Linked DNA regions of Daphnia pulex. The protein of the gene in region 1 interacts with the protein of each later gene in a biochemical or structural test. Links are inferred from orthologs where the notes say so. Each region holds a gene or a part of one and is shown on either strand. Other genes may lie near its edges.

Evidence for each region.
Region 2: of the proteins of SUMO-conjugating enzyme UBC9-B (region 1) and small ubiquitin-related modifier-like, one has a biochemical effect on the other in vitro, tested with the Drosophila melanogaster proteins (2 studies listed by BioGRID). The link is inferred for Daphnia pulex from reciprocal best matches to the Drosophila melanogaster genes lwr and Sumo.

What each region holds. Positions count from the first base shown.
Region 1 is NC_060018.1:627,901-638,057, forward strand, and holds SUMO-conjugating enzyme UBC9-B, read left to right. Parts: upstream 1-5,994; 5' UTR 5,995-6,147; exon of another isoform or gene 6,148-6,241; 5' UTR 6,242-6,250; coding exon 6,251-6,316; intron 6,317-6,391; coding exon 6,392-6,475; intron 6,476-6,588; coding exon 6,589-6,706; intron 6,707-6,768; coding exon 6,769-6,913; intron 6,914-6,983; coding exon 6,984-7,062; 3' UTR 7,063-7,222; downstream 7,223-10,157. Other genes in the region: E3 ubiquitin-protein ligase RMND5A-like, read left to right, coding at 1-44, 105-259, 318-420; acylpyruvase FAHD1, mitochondrial-like, read right to left, coding at 659-753, 816-1,303, 1,367-1,437; glyceraldehyde-3-phosphate dehydrogenase 2-like, read left to right, coding at 3,297-3,374, 3,436-3,930, 3,997-4,254, 4,314-4,481; receptor-type guanylate cyclase Gyc76C-like, read right to left, coding at 7,662-8,636, 8,710-9,317, 9,389-9,533, 9,604-9,702, 9,778-9,901, 10,017-10,157.
Region 2 is NC_060017.1:274,289-284,151, reverse strand, and holds small ubiquitin-related modifier-like, read left to right. Parts: upstream 1-5,776; 5' UTR 5,777-5,929; coding exon 5,930-5,938; intron 5,939-6,147; coding exon 6,148-6,288; intron 6,289-6,349; coding exon 6,350-6,421; intron 6,422-6,496; coding exon 6,497-6,556; 3' UTR 6,557-6,704; downstream 6,705-9,863. Other genes in the region: putative leucine-rich repeat-containing protein DDB_G0290503, read left to right, coding at 767-873, 1,750-1,981, 2,041-2,268, 2,335-2,559, 2,625-2,966, 3,042-3,365, 3,458-3,595, 3,652-3,930; serine protease inhibitor dipetalogastin-like, read left to right, coding at 6,856-6,880, 6,937-7,065, 7,135-7,287, 7,349-7,461; ADP-ribosylation factor 1, read left to right, coding at 8,680-8,827, 8,896-9,005, 9,063-9,188, 9,256-9,420.

The DNA.
Region 1 (10,157 bases):
AAAGGCAGGTTGCAGGAATGTGGAACGCTAAAGATGAACTTCCAGTAAAGTTACACACTATATAAGCCAGCAAATTTTTTATTTAATCTATAATTTGTTTATAGATTGAAATTGATGCTGGGCGTGAATATCGTTACCATTCGATATTTGCTTGTCCAATTCTGCGACAACAGGGTTCTGATTCGAACCCACCCATGCGACTGGTATGTGGTCATGTTATTTCGCGTGATGCTTTGAACAAACTCAGTTCCGGAAACAAGTGAGATATTAATTGTAGTCTTTCACTTACCGATAAAATTAACACAACTTCTCTGAAGTGTTCTTAGAGCTATCCGCACTGGCCAATCCGTTGCTAGGTTAAAATGCCCCTACTGCCCACGGGAATTCGACAGTAGCGAAGCCAGACAACTTCATTTCTAAAAAAATTTTGACAGCTTGTTGTCTTGACAGTTGAGAATCATCTGCGAAGTCTTCGAGTCCCACCTTCAAAATGGCGTATTAAACAATAAAAGTTTGGTTTGGGAAGAAAAATTATTTAGATTTTCTTAATTTTATTGAATGAAAATCCATACACAACTATTGATGTTAAAGAAATTATGCAACTGTCTTCTGAATCATTTTCTAACATTCAAATGCAAACTTATTAAGTGTTAACTTATTATTTTTCTACCATAAATTTCATGGTCAAAACATTAGTGATTCCACCCTCTATTACATCCCCAACTTTGACTGGACCCACACCAGAAGGAGTACCTGTTAACGAGGAGAGTTGTTTAGTTGTTGTTGTTTAGAGTTAACGAGGAGAGAAGGAGTACCTGTAAGGACCACATCACCGGGTTCCAATGTGAAATAAGTGGAAATGTAACTAAGTAATGTAGGGACATTAAAGATCATGTCTTTCGTTGAACCCCGTTGTCTGGCAACTCCATTAACTGAGCACCACAGTTCTATGTTATGAGGATCCATAATTTTCTCACTTGGAATAAAGGCGCTTACAGGGCATGAAGTATCAAATCCTTTTGCAAGTGTCCAAGGATGGCCCTTTTTCTTTGCTTCATCTTGGAAGTCTCTTGCAGTCATATCCAGTGCCAAACAAAATCCTCCAACATGGATCATGACATCTTCAGGTTTGACTTTTGAGCATTTGGATTTGATAACCACACCCAGTTCAATTTCATGATGAAGAGATGAGCAACCTGCAGGTATCTTTATTGGGCTTCCTTCTTCAACATAGGAAGAAGTGGGTTTTAAAAATAGAAGTGGCCTTTCAGGTATTGCATTTCCTAATTCAATAGCATGTTCACTGAAATATAAATATTCAACTGTTATTACTTCATTAAACTTACTATAATTTATATATAAATACCTGTAATTACGACCAACACAAATAATTTTCCGACCGAAATCTACAAATCTGGAGAGATGAGCAGACGCCATCGTACGTGCATATCAATACGAATATACGTTTTAGCTGCATTGTAAGCAAGCTTAGCAGCAGCTACGATAACTATTTCACGAGACAAAGTCCATTTTAACCAAATGAATTTTTCGGTAAATACTAAATAGTTACCTCGGGTTTTGAAACTGGACAAACAGAAACTAGACGATTTTTTTTTCCTAAAAATTACAGTCGCTCTACCAGATGGTGAGCTGCCAAATCAGCTGACGTAAGACGATAACAAACAGGCTCTGGAAAGTGGAAACAAAACAGATTTTTACTCGACTAAATATATGAAATTAGAAATCAAGATGTATCCAACTGTAACATGATTTCCTCCTTTAATTAAGCATGATTTTTAGGAATATAGCTATGGATCACCGATCACTAAGTGACCGTCATCCCGTTATTCATTTTTTACGTGATGGTAACCATGGCCGTACACATTTGAAGGTGAAGATGACTTTCAAAGTCATAAAGGTCGATAAAAGGCCATCTAAATAAAGAGCAAGACACTTTTTAAAATTGTGGGTATGAAAAAAAACAAACAATAGCTCTGTGTTTCATGATAACAAATTTTACACCCTACCATACTTGATATTTCTAACATCTTCTCTAATTACACCGACGATGAACCATTTCAGCATCGGGTTGTAAGACATAATAACGTGAAAATTTGATCAATCAGGAATAAATCAACGTAAAGAATCTACAATACAAAAATATTGCTTTCCATATTTCAAACCATGGTTCAAACGCTGGCTCAATACATTTAATGGCGGGAGCGCATTATTGATTCGCGTGGGGTAGAGGGTTGGCAAAAGAGTTCAGTAGTAGATCACGTGAATGCCCTTCAGAAACCAGCATTTGCCCTTGTCGGCTCGAGCCAAAATAAAAGCAGCGCTCGTCTTTCTTTGCAGCGCTAACTACCTAAACTAGAGTTCGCTTCGACTTTGGCTAGGCAATCCCGCCGAGGTATTGAGGACTCGAAACGCCGGTTCGATATCACAGACGTGCCCTGTACGCAATCCTAACAACAAGGTGAGTCTCCGAGTCTCATTTAAGAGTAATTTTTTTACTTGAAAGTATCTTAGAAATTCATGGCACTCGCTAATAGTAATTGGAATTCATGTTAGACTATTAGAGTATTAAGTACTAGACATTAACTAGTTTTAAAACGACAAAGAAATCTTTAGTTCCAATTTTTATAACTTTTAATTGATTCAGATTGATAGTATACTAAATTTTCCAATTGTTACGCTAAGTTAGCTTTTATATTACCATCGTGTGTTTTGCTCGTCGTGCATGATATATTCACGCACCAAACTTTCATGGTTAGGGAAAATGGCGGCTATAAAAATTTCCAGCACTCTAGAACATTCGAAAGCAACTATAAATAAATTATCTGTTAGCTGAAAACTATTCTAAATTTGTTCGACGAAATTGTCGATTTTACGGAAAATTCCGGTGTGCGTGTCACGTCGACGGGCGGGACGCTTGAAGGTCAATACAAGGGCTTCTACCTCTCCCCAAAACACTATACAGTATTTTCTACAGTGGAGATGTATTGATCTTGTCCTGCCTATTTTTAGATCCAAAGACTCCTTCAACTTAACCTTTACTGATTTTATACTTTCTACTAGTCAAAGTATATATATAAAACTACACAAGACCAAATGTTAATGTTTAAATCCGGTAAAATGTGGTTTTGCGTCATCTGCTGAGAACAGCTGTTTTTGACAAATCAATAGTTTTACTGTTGCTATGCTAAATTTAACGTTTAAATTAGGCAAATGGAGTTTTTAATTTAATTTTTTGTTACCTTGAGCAGTTATCACCTCCTCAACTTCACCTAAAGATGTCGAAAATCGGTATTAACGGATTCGGTCGTATCGGCCGCTTGGTGCTTCGCGCTTGCATCGAAAAGGGAGCTACGGTAAAACATAATTAATTAAAATATTAATGATTTCACTCATTCTGACATTTTGGGATTTTAGGTTGTTGCTGTCAATGATCCCTTCATTACTCTTGACTACATGGTGTACATGTTCAAGTATGACTCTACCCATGGCCGCTTCAAGGGAGAAGTGAAGGAAGAAGGTGGCAAGCTTGTTGTCAATGGACATCACATTCAGGTCTTCAGCGAGCGTGACCCCAAGAACATTCCATGGGGAGCTTCTGGAGCTGAATATGTTGTTGAATCCACTGGTGTTTTCACCACTTTGGACAAGGCCCAGGCTCACATTGATGGAGGAGCAAAGAAAGTTATCATCTCTGCCCCATCTGCTGATGCCCCCATGTTTGTTGTTGGAGTCAACCTTGAAGCATATGATCCTTCCATGAAGATTGTTTCCAATGCTTCTTGCACCACCAACTGCCTGGCTCCTCTGGCTAAAGTTATCAATGACAACTTTGGTATCATTGAAGGCTTGATGACCACTGTCCATGCCATCACTGCAACCCAGAAAACCGTCGATGGACCTTCTGGAAAGGTAAAATACTTTTGGAGAAAAAAAAAATGATCACATACTAACCTTTTGAATATTCGATCATTGCAGTTGTGGCGTGATGGCCGTGGTGCTGCCCAGAACATTATTCCTGCCTCTACTGGTGCTGCCAAGGCCGTAGGTAAAGTCATTCCTGAACTGAACGGAAAATTGACCGGTATGGCTTTCCGCGTACCCGTCCACGATGTCTCCGTTGTTGATCTGACCTGCCGCCTGTCCAAGGAAGCCAGCTACGACGAAATCAAGGCTGTCGTTAAAGCAGCAGCTGAAGGCCCGATGAAGGGTATTTTGGGCTACTGCGATGAGGAGGTAACATCATTAGAAACATTTTACATTAAAGTTGATTGATAACGTGAGATTTTTTGTAGGTCGTCTCCACAGACTTCATTGGTGACAACCACTCTTCCATCTTCGATGCTGCTGCAGGCATTGCTCTCAACAAAACTTTCGTCAAGCTGATTTCATGGTACGACAACGAATTTGGTTATTCGTGCCGTGTCGTCGATTTGATCAAGTACATGCAATCCAAGGATTAAATCAATAAAGCTGCATTGTGGGATGAGTCACTGGCATACGTCTTACAGCAGAATAATCCGTTACTTATTCTGTTAATGTTGTCTAATTATCTATCCCTCATTCTTGCTACCGCACTGGCTACAACGATTGATGTTTGTTGTTGGTCGTCCTTTCTGTAGTCTGAAATCCCAATCTTAGATGTCTGTTACATTGGCTACAGGAATATAAACGTTTGTCACAAAATTTACATTTCAATTTTTTATTATCAGCTCATTTTAAATCAACATTTTGATCTTTAATTTATTGATAAAATATCATTATCATAAAGAAATTTACTTTCCACATACCTGCTCACTTTGGTGACAGTAATCTCCTTTCATGCAACGCCATATATTTGCATTCAAACGTGCGAATATGTGAAGGGAACACGAAGCTTTCAAGACGCGATTCCCCAGTACTCATTGGTTACGCCTAATAATAAAATTATAGTTAGTAATCTGAAATAAAACATTTACAATTATGCTCTATAATATGATTGACATTTCTCTGTAACAGCCAATACTGACGAGGAGTTATATTCAAAAGATTTTTTTAGATATGGACATTATTCTATTACTTGACAGTTAACTTTCTCAGAAGCATCTTCCTGAGCCCTTCAGGAGTCATTTGTTATTCAGTGCAATGGTAAAAATAAAGACAGACTCACAACAATATTACATAGCACACTACGTTTCCAAGCAAGAAATTAGTTTAAAAACTGGCACATGTAATAATCTTTGAACTATACAAAATAGTGATTCAAGCACTATTGTTTTGTGAAATCACCAATACATCATATCTAATGAGTATTTAACAGGATATTTTCCGCTTTGAGATACCCAAGTATGTTTCATTCCCTTCCACTTTGGCACTAACACATTCAACCCTTCTATGCGAGAAGTACCTAGCTGAAACAACCATAATAGGGAATAACAGATCTTCATTTAATAAATTTAGAGTTTGTGACCTAATATGACAAATTAACTGATGTTTTCATACCTTTCTGAACATTCTATATCAATTTTGTAGTTTCCCCATCCACAAAGTTAAACTGAACTGAGGCTTTAGGATTAGAGATTATATCATTCTTAATTCATTCGAGACATGGTTGTTTGCACCTTTTTTCGTTTTGTCTTCGTGTGATACCTTTGTGGTTTGTCACTAGTTGATTCACGTGTTCGAATATTCTGGAAGCATTACGTAAACGACGCTTGGCTTGTCTCGAATGTTGAACGATCAAAGCTACATGAGATGGAAGATATCAATGATTTTTTTTAACACTTGATTTTTCAATTTGGAATTTAAACAAAATACAAGAACTTAAGATGCATGCCTGTGTGACTCACTGCTCTGTTGTTTTTTGAACCATCTGGGCGCCATCTTTCATAGGCAGTGGCAGCATAGCCAGTTCATTTTTAATTTTAGTTGATGAAAACTAAAACTAAAAATGCTTATGCATGCTACAGCCAAAATGGTTTGATTTCATTGAAATCCATATTTTACATGCAAATGTTTCATCATTTATTCGTTTAAATCCCCAAATTAAATTTTAAATTGATTTGTAATTATTCGAATTACCTTAAGGCAACCCTGGCAATAATTGTACGAAACTACACAGCTAAATTATTTGGCAGCCGTTGAAAAAAGGTAACTATTATTTATTTAAGAGCTGTTGCATCTTGCTTTCTTCAGTCATATTCACACTTTCTTATTACATCACACTGAAATTTTTATTCTCTAGTGACCAATAATGTCCGGTATTGCTATTGCTCGACTTTCTGAGGAACGTAAAGGCTGGAGGAAAGACCATCCCTTTGTAAGTTGCTGGTTTGCCAAACGATAGTTGTTGGGTTGTGTGTGTTTGATTTGTGTATCTTTGCGTTGCCTTTAGGGTTTTGTTGCCAGGCCCACAAAGAATCCTGATGGAACCCTCAATTTGATGAACTGGGAATGTGCTATTCCAGGCAAGAAATCGGTAATGAGTTTTACACTTAAAGATCTTACTTCACATTGGTGTCAGATATACTTACCAAATTCACTGTTGTTTGAAGTAACAATATTAAGTGTAACTTGTGCATACATTTACAGACTCCCTGGGAAAATGGATTGTACAAAATCCGTATGATTTTTAAAGATGACTACCCCTCTTCTCCTCCAAAATGCAAATTTGAGCCCCCACTTTTCCATCCAAACGTCTATCCATCAGGTTGAATCAAATGGCTATTTGAGTGTTTTGTTTTAGCTAACCTTTTGGCATTTAATATCCAGGCACAGTTTGTCTATCATTGTTGGATGAAGAAAAGGACTGGAGACCTGCAATTACCATCAAACAGATTTTGCTTGGAATTCAAGATCTCCTAAATGACCCCAATATTAAGGATCCGGCTCAGGCAGAAGCTTATACTATCTACTGGTAATGATTTTTACACCAGTAGACAACTTGAAAGTTTGGATTGTAATATTTCATTTGATTATTTCTCCAGTCAAAATCGAATGGAGTACGAAAAACGTGTTAGAGCACAAGCCAAGGCTATGGCTGCCACCACTGATTTGCTGTCTTAATTTCCCAAGTAAATCCAGCTGTCAAGGAATAAGTTAACTTCTTTTTCTTTTCCACGTGCTCTATTTGTTTTTTAAAAATTCTTATTGTCTTCATTTCAATACTTACTTATCGTCCAGAAAACATACTCCGATCTGAAATAAAACGCTAAGTAAGGTGTAACACTTGTTGACCTTTTTTTTTTTCAATTACGTCACTTGACTATTTTATTTGGTTGTGACCTACTTTGTTGATATGCGTTTTATCTGGCGAATATCTGATTATGAAGACCAAACTTCTTTTAACTACTAGAATTCATCAAAGGCTCTCTTACCTGATTAAAATTTGAACTAAATGGGTTATCGATGTACAAAGTGCAAAACAAGGTATGTAAAACAACAACCGATTTATCACAATATTTTCAGCAGCGACAATATTACAGATACACTAAAATCAAAGAAAACATTCCGACTTGAAATCGATTAAAAATCTTAACCGAGAAGAATCGGAGATCGGGTATGGCATTTTCAAATGGCGAAATATACGAATCACGAAACAAGTAAAGCAAATTTGTCATCATGTAAAAAGACTGTGGAGGATGCAAGAATAAGGAGGCGCAATTTCACACAACGCTTTCTCTGTCATCACGGTGGAGGTCGGAAAAGTCCTCTCCCGTCTGCGGATTCCGACTAAAAGCATCACCTCCGTGACCCACGCCGAACAGATTGACTATCCACCGCTTGACGTTGGGCACGCTCTTGCTAACAGTGGGGGCGATGACCGTGTCTTTGCCTTCTTTACCGAGTCTCTCGCCCGATGTCGAATGTTCCAGTTGTTCACAAGAGTATCTCTTTTCAGACTCCATCAATCCACAGGCTGTGAGACTGGGCCGATGCCGAGTGCGATCGCGACTGAGCAGAGTCTCGGAATTGACGTCAATCCCTTCGTCGTCGTTTTGGAGTAACCTGACGGCCTGGTAGCCCGAAGTCTTGATATGTCCGTTGGGTCGTGACAATTCGGCTTGCTCCGGTTGATCCCCGTTCGGGATTGTCAAGACGACGTTGTGATCGTCGCTGAGAAGTCGAGAATGTTCGTCTTCAGTGTCATCCTGCGACGCGCAACTGGGCAGCGGCGACCGGTCTATCAAAGTCGACCTCAATTCAGACGGGAAAAGATCCAGGGATTTGGATTCTTTCCTGCGACGCTGATTCGACTTGTTTCGAGAAGGGAAGACTTGAGGAACGCAGAGAAACTGCCGGGGACCATGACTAACCGAACTCAAACCGCCCGCTCTCTGCTGCTGCTGCTGCTGCTGCTCCTGATGCTGGTGGTGGTGGTGGTGGTGGTGTTGTTCATCTTCGTCTTCGGGAAATCGACCGAGTGACTGGCATCGCCTTTGAGGTAACAGCGGACTGGCTGTTGTTCCGCTCCGATAATCCACATCACCGCTCTCGCTCGCTCCCTCGGCAACGATTTGAACTTGGCTGGCATGTGCGCTGCGCGTTAATAGGCAACTACGCCGTAGACTTGCATTTGACTTGGTTGTTCGAACTGAACGCAGAGACCGAGCCGATTGGCTCGTTTTCCTGTCGAAAAGCTGTTTTGTTTAAAAAGAAATGGAACGTGTTACCATGGAAACTTTCAAAAGGGAGAAAATGAGAAATTTATACTTTCGGAGTTGGAGGTTGATTGGTGCTGATGATGCTGCTGCATATCGAGTCGCTATTGGAACCCTCCAACAATTCGGCCGAATTATCGTGGTGATACATCCTGTTGGGCTGGCCTTGTGTCCGTCCTTGTTGCGCAGCCAGCGACGAGCTCATTCGAATGCTCCCGCTGCCAACGGGCCTCGAATCGGACGACACTCTCCTCGTCAGCATCGATTCCGCCCTGTGAAGCATTCGAGGACTCCTCCGGCGAAGATCCGACATGTTGCCGGCACTGCCGTTGGCGTTGGAACTCGCTGCTCCGATGGCACCAGACGGGCGACAAAAGAGTGGCGCTTGATCGGGTCCAACGTCCGCTCGTGCTGTAACAGCTCCACTTGTGACGCCAATCAGCCAGTGTGTCAACACTTCGCCTTTGCCCTTCATGGCGACCAGTCCTCGTTCTTCCGTCACGTAACCGCCGATCTTTTCCAACGCCTTTCGACACTCGCAACTGATGTGAATCCTCAGGGGCTCGCCGTTCGATTCCATCCGCGAAGCCGTGTTGACCGTGTCGCCGAACAAACAATATCTGGGCATCGTCAAACCCACTACTCCGGCCACCACGGGACCTGTTTCATCATATCGACAAAAATGGTTTTTTACCCTTTATTTGTATTTATTTTAAACTTGTGTATTGTACCGGTGTGAATTCCGATCCTGAGTAAAACTGGATCTTTAGGTCGATGGGACACGCGATGATTCTTGACTGCTGATAGCAAATCAAGCGCCATCGACGCAATCATGCCGGCGTGTAGATCGCCGTTGGGTAAAGGCAATCCAGAAACCTGTTTTCACCCAATTTTAGATGAAATTAAGTCAAAAATGAAAACAAGTTGTATATATTGTGAGACTTACCACCATGTAGGCATCTCCGATGGTTTCCACCTTGTACACATCGTAACCCTGGATGATGGAATCGAACAAGGTGTACAAATCGTTGAGAAAGTTGACCACCTAATTGCGGAGAAAACAACGCCCACAAAATTGTCAAATCTAAATCGAGTTACAAGTTTTTAATAAAAGAATTACCTGGAACGGAGTACTCTCGGCCGACATTTTGGTGAAGCCAACAATGTCACTGAAATAGATGGTGACAGCTTCGTAGGATTCCGGTTCGACGCCCCACCCTCTTGTGAGTCGTTGAGCCACGGGTCTGTCAATGTCAATGTCAGCCATTAAGAGCTTATTCTTTTAAGGGTGTGTCTATTCATTTCGCAAGAGTGGCTAATAATAAAAATAAAAAAGGGGGGTTGAAAAACCAGACTGACTTTGGTAGCATGCGATGGAGGAGGTCCTCGGTCTTTTGTTTCTCTTCGTAGAGAAGTTGGGTCCGCTCGGTGACCAAGAGCTCGAGATTGCCGGCATAGATCACCATCATTTCCATCAACTGGTCCATAATAAACGGCTTC
Region 2 (9,863 bases), on another chromosome or scaffold:
TGTGTGAATTTATTTGATCCAATTAAGGTCAGTCAGCTAAAATTCGTTACTTCTTGTTTAGAATAAACATTTTTTTCAGGTTCGGTTAAAGGAGATACTGAGACATTTTCCCCAGACATCTGCTTTCGCTGTACGCTTACGCTTGCGAATGCTGTACCGATTTGCAGCAGTTTGTCTTTAACTATAGCAATAGGGTGTTCCTAAAAAATTTTTCAAATTCGAACACGTCGGAGAAGCGTTTCGTCAATGTACGTAATTAACGTGAAATGTCAGTAACATTCATATTACGATGTATTACGAATGCTTACGGTACGGTCTATTTAGACATGGCATCAGACCACTTAGGTCCACCATGACTGCTTAGGTGTCACTGTTTCAAATATTTTTTTTATGAACGACATACAGAGGGTATTTATTAATTTTATCTGATAACTCTCTCACGACAATATATACAGTATTACATATAATAACTACTCGCAGCACTGATCACAATAAGCAAAATCAGTGATTATACGGAATGAAAATGGCTTATTTTTTAAAAGTTAACTGCTTTTGTCAGTTTGTGTTGATAATTCGATAACAGCTGATAAATGTCATGCTGCGGCAAGCCCACATAAAAGTGACTCGAAATTGCTCACTTTTAGCTTTGGCTTGACGCAGAGACAGTTCTCTCTCATTCTTGGAACCCACAGTTTGTTTCCGAGATCGTCCCATCTTCTTCAGAAGCTTTACGTCCGCCTCCTCAGTCGGACCATCTGAAGAAAGAATGAGAACGTTCTGGTATTTGATTTCGGCGACGGCCGTCATTTTGCTTCATCCGGTAGCCACCCAGACGCCTCAACAGCCAGGAGCGACCGCAGCATCTCTCATCACGTGAGTAAAAATTTTATCATATTAGTTGGGCATGGCAAGTCTTCCTCATTGTGTACATTTGCAGTTTTCTCCATTATTACAAGATGATGGCTAGCATAAAGGGATATGTGATGTATAGAAAGCTTTAAGATTAAATTTTCCTTCTAACCAGCGGTCGGGGAAGGTTTGGGTGGGGAAAAAATCAGCAAAGTCTCTTTCGAGTACTCCTTTTTGCGCTCAAAGACGTACACACTGCCGTATCCAATTACCTCTATGCTATCCGCCTCATGGGGGTCTATCTAGTTGCTCAAAACAACCTTGCCCTCTTTCTTTTTGCGCTCCCATCGTTGCTCTGGAATTAATAGTTGTTGAAAAGTCTGCTGAACACATGTGCTGCTAACAACAAAAACAAGAATATGCCATTTACTTGTGAAGCGCTTGAACGGAAATTCTAGCTCGCCATGGGCCGTATATGCGGCCGGCGGTAAGGGGGTTGTCTGAGTCTCCAGATTTGACCATAGATAATAAAGATTCATAAATGTTTGATTTCTTTTATTCAAACACGTGGATTGAGTAGCTCAATGAACAAAACCGAAGAAACAACGCCCATTTCCTGTTGTGGGAACTTGCCGGCGATATGACAGAGTGACAGAGGTCGCCGTTTCCCTTTCGATTTGAAATAAGTCGATGATGTCGCTCGTGTCATCCTTGTTTCCAAGTGAATTGAAGTCTTCCCGCTTCCTCGAATTCCTCAATGCCTTGACCTCAATCGACAACATTTTAAAAGATTCTAATCGTAGGCATGGTGATGTCATTTGCCATGCGAATTAGGCTATAACTCGTCTCTTTTCCCAATCTGCGGTAAATAACACATCTAATCGAGTTTCGAAATGGTAGGCATTCGGACATCAGGGACGCTATTTTGACGCTGGTCGGAGCAGTTAGAGAGCAGACGGGCAAGCTCGAACGCCACGAACTTCGTGAGAGGCAGCTGGGAGATGCCCTGACGCGTTCCCTTAGAGATCTTGATTCACGAACACGTGGTCAAGATAAGAATCTGGAGAACCTGGCTATCCTCATGGCCCGAACCGATGAGCGGCTCCGTAAGATGGAAGAAATGGTCATACAGGTAACTTCAAGTCGATCTATAATTAAAGGTCAAATATCAACCACAATATTTTATATCAGAGGGACGAGAGAGAGAGAATTCAACTCCAGAAAATCACTGACAATACAGTGGCTATCCGCAATGGAATTGAATCCGGAAGAAGTGCCGGTGCTCCTAGTGGTCCTGCTCCGGCAGCCGCTTCAACTGGAGATCTCGGCGAAGTACTGAAACAGCTGACTCGCACTCGTAAAAAGGTGGAGAGCGTGGAAGAATCATTGCAAAACCGTCTGTCAGTTGTGGCTAACGAAGTAAGTATTAAGAAAATTAATCCAGTCAAGATCGCGAGTGAGAGCTACATGCTGTTAACTTCCTAGGTGAAAATCGTTGGAGAAAAGTACGAAACGCGCAGTGAGAGACTAGAGAGCTTACAGTTGACTACCATGGAGAACCTGGGCAAAGCTCAAGCTGGCGATGCCGAGAAATTGCGAGCTGCATCTGTCAATCTGGTGGCTACGGAAGGCAAATGGCGACAGTTTTTCAGCGATGCTCAGAATCTGGTCAACCAGTTTGGAGTTGGTGTCAACCGCATTTCTGATCACGTATACGAGTTTCAGAGTTCATTCTTGAGAACAGATGTCAATGAAAATTTCATGATTGCATCCAGGCGAGTCGAATGAAGAATGACACTTCAGCCATCTTAGTCGGTATTGAAAAGCTGGAGACATCTTTGGAGAATTCCGGATCGTCTTCCGGATCGCAGAGCAATCCTGAGGCCCTTGTTTCCGCTATTCAAGTCCATCTGAAACCAACGCTCGATGCTGTTCATTCACTGGTCAACGACTCGTACCAGTCACAGATGAAACTAGACGAAAACTTCAAAGAAGGTTGGCAATCTTTGTCACGCGGAATTGACAAAGGTGTGATGAATGTCACCGATGTGTTTCAAACTCGACTTGGAGCATTTGAACACAAAATGAGTGAGAGTCAGAAGCTTATCCAAGACCAGGTAATGCCAATAATCTCTTTCACAATCAAATAATAATTGAATATCATTACCACATGATAATTTTTCATGAATTAGGTGGAGGAATCTGGAAATATGGCCGAGACATTGGCCGACAGGGTGGACAAAAGCTATGCAAGTCTTGCCAAAGAAATTCACGGGTTGCAAAAAGTAGAACAAGTACTTCTCGACACGGCTGATGGAGTTCTTGATACGAAACGACGTCTCGAATTTGCCGTCCAGCAAATTTTGCTTGAATTGGGCGACTCAATCCGCAGACAAACGGGCGATCTGAACTCGACATTAGCCCGCAAGGTCGACGACGTCACCTTCTCGGTCATCAAAGATCAAAGTACCGCACTTACTAACATGACAAGTAAACTAGAAAATGAACTCGGACAGGTACACGGACTATAAAAATGATTTTACTTTTATTATTAGTTTTTTTTTTCCCTATTTACTAATTTATAGAATTCATTTCTAAAATCATCTAGGTCTGGCGTCAGATTGGCGTGCTATACCAGAGCGCCAGTCAATCACAAGAATTGTTGCAACGAGTGGAACAGCAGACAGCCCAACACGTCGGCGGTAGTCTTCAAGCTCTCAGCAGCATGGACAAAAGAGTTGGCCAGGTACGAATATCTTCGAACGACATTATTATGAAATTGATTAATGAACTTTGTTATAGGTAACGGAACGGGTCAACGAAGTTGACGACCATTTGAACTTTTTGCTGGGCCGCTTGTCGTTAGTAGTGCAGGAATTCAATCAAGTGAGGGGTGGATTGGGTGAGGCTCTCGAATCACTTCGTTCAGGACTTGCAGTCACAGGCCAACAGCCAAGTACGACGGCCGGTAAATCCTCTTCACCTCCTTATGACGTTTCCAGTGGTCCAGTACCCAATCAAGAGGACGTCACCGTTATCACGCGGAAAGAGAATATTAATAACGACAGCGACGAGAATTGAAATTGAATTGCTCATTCGTGACTGAGCTGTAGACAATAGCATTGAGCTTCTTTGCAAAATTGAGAACAGTAGACATTCGTAGACTTAACTCTAGTTTAATTTTTATGTAGTCACAACTTTCATTTCGGACGAAACACATAAAATATAAGTACAGTGCTCATTGAGTAGAATCAACCCCACTCTATTAGCCAAAGTAGATTCTCATCGTACGCAACCAAATAAATTACCGCCAAGTTTTTAAAATCCTATCAATCAAACAATACAAAAAATACGGTCTGTATTCGTTCCTGCGGCGAACGAAGATTAATTGAATTCCACGCCACATGTCTCACATAATAAGTTGCTCCTGCTGCGTGTGTCAACTGGATAATGCACCTTCTGCCTCCGTTCTATTTTTTTCTCATTCAAATGTGAATTGTACACTCGTTGCCAAAACAAATAATACATTAGATACACATTTGTATATGAATCACACGGCTAATACTTGAATCAATATGACACATGTTTCGTATCTTTTTTGACAATTTGACAATCGTGTGGCTTAGTGAGTTGTACTTTTTTCCTCTCTAGTTCTATATTGCATTATAGCATGGATGAAGTCAATACAGGAAACGAACAAGTTTTGACAAAGATTGATTGGCTTCCTCGTCTGACTGTTGTTCAACTACCGAAGGATCAGTGCAATGCTTAAAAAATATTTCTGTAAAGAAGAGGCATCATCTTGTATAATAAAATTTATCTTGTTGTAATAAAACCCCCAAACCGTCTCAAAGGTAAGGTTTTATTTCATACTAAAGCGCAATAATCTAGAACAAAATAATTTGTACAACAACGCATTAATAGCTATATGGAATTAATTAATAAAAATGGCAATAAATTCGACTCCTAAAATGAAAATGACGCTGTTGGAAATTTTTCGTTGGGTTAGCAACAAGTTTGACTACTAAAAAAAATTGCTCGAATTCCAGTGGAAGGTTTACAGAATCAAACCAAAATTTAACATTCATTCAAAAATATCTAATAAAATAGTCTTCTATAATTTCGGTTTGCTGTACTCCATAAGACACAACTTGTCAGTAAGCAAGAAATTTTCTTAAAATTCCCCTGGAATAGGATGCTATTGGTCGATTAATACTGGTGTGTCGCTCATTCAAAAGAACGAAGTCAGCAAACAGAAAAAAATCCGACGATGCGAAACTGTAACTGTAACAACACAAATTATTTACTACCTACAGATGTCGCAACAATGTTCCTTTTTTTATTACGACAGCATTATCAATTCGTACAGGGAAAACCAGCAGTCGTCCCGCCATTTAATAATTCAAGTCATCAACTCACCAAATTCGATTCTAGTTTGCTAACTGATTATTGGAGTAACTCGTTTCTATGCTGCGGTTGGCATTTACAATCTCAGCAAAAATTTTTATGGAGTGAGTGCTATGGACGTAGTGACGGCTGTAAACCTATTAATTCATGAAACATTAATATGATGTATGATTATCAAATTAAATTAAGGGACATCAACTGCACGCACACGTTGCTAATAATCATCCATAACGATTGCTAACTGTGTAATAATTGCTTAAGCAGCCAAAATGTAGTCGAAGAAGATCTCAATTTATATTTTTATTGAATCAAGCCATTGGATATCATCAGTCTTAATTTTAAATATTATCAATCCCAAATTACATATTGTGCAATTGTTTCAAGCAAAATATTCTTCAAAGCAGCAAAAAATTTAAAAAAAATCCTACAAATTTTATTAATATATTCCAATTTATTTAAAAAAAGTTTTTTAATTTAAAAAAATGTACTCATTTCATACGTGGCCGGCCGTTGTTAAAATAAGTTTTTAGTGCAGTGCCGGCATCCAGACGTATATAGCTGGTGCGGCAACGTTTATTCTCGGCGCTTTTTTGGCCCACGCCATTATTCATTATTCTTCAATAGAGTCGTCTCAAACGTGCTGCTAGTTTTAGAAAAAGAACTTGTTTTAACCATGGCTGATGTAAGCACGTAACTATCTATGTTACTTTTTAAGTATTGCTAAATTTACCCCATTCGTTTCTTTTTCCATAAAATTTGTTTTCACGTGTTGTCTTTGCTGGATAGTCGATTTTTTTTTAGTTCTGATCATGTGTTCGATATTTTAACTGTTTGCCTTTGCATTACCCTATACCAATTTGGCTAACTGTGGTTTCTATTTTTAATATACAGGATCAGAAACCTGATGCCGGTGATGCAGGATCAGAGTACATCAAATTGAAAGTTGTTGGCCAGGATTCAAATGAAATTCACTTTCGAGTAAAGATGACGACACAGATGGGCAAACTCAAGAAGTCTTATAGTGAAAGAGTGGTAAGGGTTTTTCCTGTCATTTTTTTTTTCACTTATTGATAAAGATTTTCTTTGTGTTCAGGGTGTGCCAGTTACTTCGCTGAGGTTTTTGTTTGATGGAAGGCGAATTAATGATGATGAAACCCCTAAACAGGTATGTTGTGTCTAATGCACTTAGCTGATGTGTTAAATGATATGCAAGTAATGAATTTCTGTACTGCTGTTCTAGTTGGAAATGGAGAATGATGATGTCATTGAGGTTTATCAGGAACAAACTGGTGGCAATTAATTTAAGAACCTCGATGCATTCATGGAAAACTTTCCACATTTTCTGGACAAAACTGTCTTTTAATTTCCAATGTTGTCATCAAAATATCGCCCTGCTTTCTGTTCTTCATTTCCAATCGAATAAATAAAACCATTTTCGTAACCGAGAATGATCCTTTCGTTAACTTATGGGCACTCTGCCACTTGTTTCTATCAACTTGTATTGCTATGAATATTGACATCAAAGTTCAAGGATGAAAGGTCTTGACTTCCATTTCTTGCTTTTGATCGCAAAGTGCGTACAAACCTTTTCGAGAGAGGATGCATTGCACAACGCTGTTGCTTGGTAAAAATAAATTGTCAATCAAGAATTTATAATATACTTTATTTTGTGTTGTTCAGTTGTACTAGTAGTAGGTGCAACAAGTTGTAAAATTCCCAAAAGTTATAAACCACTTTGTGGGGTTAACGGGATTTCCTACACGAATCTGAAGGCTTTACAGTGCCATAATAAGGCTAGCCCTGGAAACAGTAGGCTATTTGAAATATTCTTTTTTAGGAAATGGTTCCATCCGTGTTGAATTTGTTTGGTTTTCTCAGTGATTCGAATAGCTTATAAAGGACGCTGTCTTCGACCTGATATTCGTGAATGTAACTATTCTTCAGTCGTGAAAAATGTCTGCGGCAACGACGGGCTTACCTATCTGAATCCCGCAATGGTTGCATGCAAGAACAAATTACAGCCTAAAAAACGTATATTTTTATATCATACATAATTAAACGATGCACAGTTGATATTTTTATGACATTTTAGAGGTGAAGATTATTAGCAAGGGCAAATGTAAAAGTAAAACAAACGCTCGAAGAAGAAAAGTGCCAAATAAAACAGTGAGACCCGGAAACGTCACGGGACCAAAGCAGAAATAGGATTACTCCCCCAAAACCTCACTTCGTTCGTTATAACTTGTATCATGCCAAATTAGACTCTAAACTCTCAAAGTCAATATATGTCAATAAACATGACCAACTTCTGTTTAAAATAAACGGCTGGGTTCTGACAAGAGATCCGTGTTACTAATGTGTCAACTATGCCACAATGCCGGCTCGTCATTCAATTTTCTCGTGCCATGTACTATATTTTTTAAAAAATTCGCCGGGTTTCATTTCTCAAAATAGTTCAGATTAATGCAAGCATTCTTAACAGTCGGCGGCCGTTTTTCAAGGAAGACGGATCTACTAAGATGACGTGTTAAGTTCGTGCACAATACGAAAAGTGCCTTTAATCCTTTTTTTAAAAGACAAAACATATGGTTAATAAGCGCATCGGCTTCCAACATACTCGATAGAGTGGGAATCAAACAAGTCACGTGACTTGGACTGTGCTATAAAATTCGATCCAAGCATTATTTTAAAAAAATGTCTCCCTTACTCACGCCTCTAGTGTATACAACTTCCAACTATTAATAATAGTACTAGATGTCTTGATTTTGTATAAAAAAGGTAAATCCTATTATGAGCTATCCAATCCTCTTGATTGAAAATAAATTTTACAAATAATTGTAATGACAAATATGAACATGCAGTTAACAATTAACGTTCTAATTCTTTGATAGTGTTTTTGTTTTTAGTCACTAGGAGCGCATGAGACAAGCTTAAAGGTGAGTGGGCGAGTCTCTACGATTTCCAGAAGAGGGTCGGGCACAGCTTTTTCTACTTCATACTTTTTGACGTGGCAACGTAACGTTGAATAGCTAGTTGAAAGAGGTCTTCGTCCGCCATTATTAACCCTCTGCTCGTAGTCTAATTCGGGCTCGTTCATTCTTTGGAATCCGTTGCGTTCGATTCAGAGTCCGTAAGTTACCTTCACCACATTTACTAAAGAGTCGAATATGTCAACTTCTAAGTGTATTAATAATTAGTTCATTTTGCGAAGCACTTGTAATTGTATGTCGTGTCGAGTCGGTTCTGCCACTCCACAAACTTCACCGAGTCGGCGTTGAGCAAGGGTTTGACAGTTGCTCAATGTCTAGCTTCAGTTTAGTCATTAGTTAGCAAAGATATATCTTTGTAACATTTTCCAGTGATTCTAATTGCCATTCTTCCTTTTTTAGGTTATATTCTTAAGTTATTCCATCCAACTTTGCAATGGGAAACGTTTTCGCCACCCTGTTCAAAGGCCTATTTGGCAAAAAGGAAATGAGAATATTGATGGTTGGACTTGACGCAGCTGGTAAAACTACAATTCTCTACAAACTCAAGTTAGGTGAAATCGTCACAACAATTCCCACAATTGGTAATTTATTCAATTTTCAGCAAATTTGACTTGCAGTTTTTATCATGTAATTTGTTTTTATTCCCAAGGTTTCAATGTAGAAACAGTTGAATATAAAAACATATCTTTCACTGTTTGGGATGTTGGTGGCCAGGACAAAATTCGACCATTGTGGAGACATTACTTCCAAAACACACAAGTATGTTTATTAAGCTAAAAATTTGAGTGACTTTTCTAATTGTCCATTACAATCTAGGGTCTCATCTTTGTAGTTGATTCTAACGATCGTGAGCGTATTGGTGAAGCCCGAGAAGAGTTGATGAGGATGCTGGCCGAAGATGAACTCCGTGAAGCCGTGTTGCTTATTTTTGCAAACAAACAAGTATACTTGTCTTTCATTTTCAAAAATGTTTTGACAACAATGACATCATTATTATCCTTGTATTCAGGATTTGCCGAACGCTATGAACGCCGCCGAAATCACAGATAAACTTGGACTTCATTCTCTGCGCAACCGTAACTGGTATATCCAAGCAACCTGTGCCACCAGTGGAGATGGACTTTACGAAGGGCTTGACTGGCTTTCAAACCAATTGAAAAATGCGTCGCGCTAAAGAAAAGAAGATAAAAAGAAACAAGATTTTCAAATTCATATTTTTCAGCTCTAGTAATCCTTGCCTCTCGGCCTCCTTCGCCACCTTTCATCTTTTTTTTTTTGCCCCCCTTCCATCGAGAGTAAGAAAAAGGAAGGCAAACACTTCTGATCCTACTTGAGGGTCCTCTCGCTGCTCTTACAAGGGACATTCCTGGTTTATTCATTTCAGATAAATTCTTTTTTCTCTTCAAAAATGGAAGTAAGCTTTTTTTTTTCTAATGTTCGTAATCGGTTTATTAGCACTTGAGGCAAGGACGTCTGTATATTGAGAACCAAAAAGGCGATTTAAAAAAAGCAGCGGTACTGAACAAGTGTTGCCACCTTTTGTTTCTGTTTTTCCGTGTGCTACAGTTAGGCCCTCATCATCCTCCATCTTTTTCATCCCTTCTATTTTAAATCTAA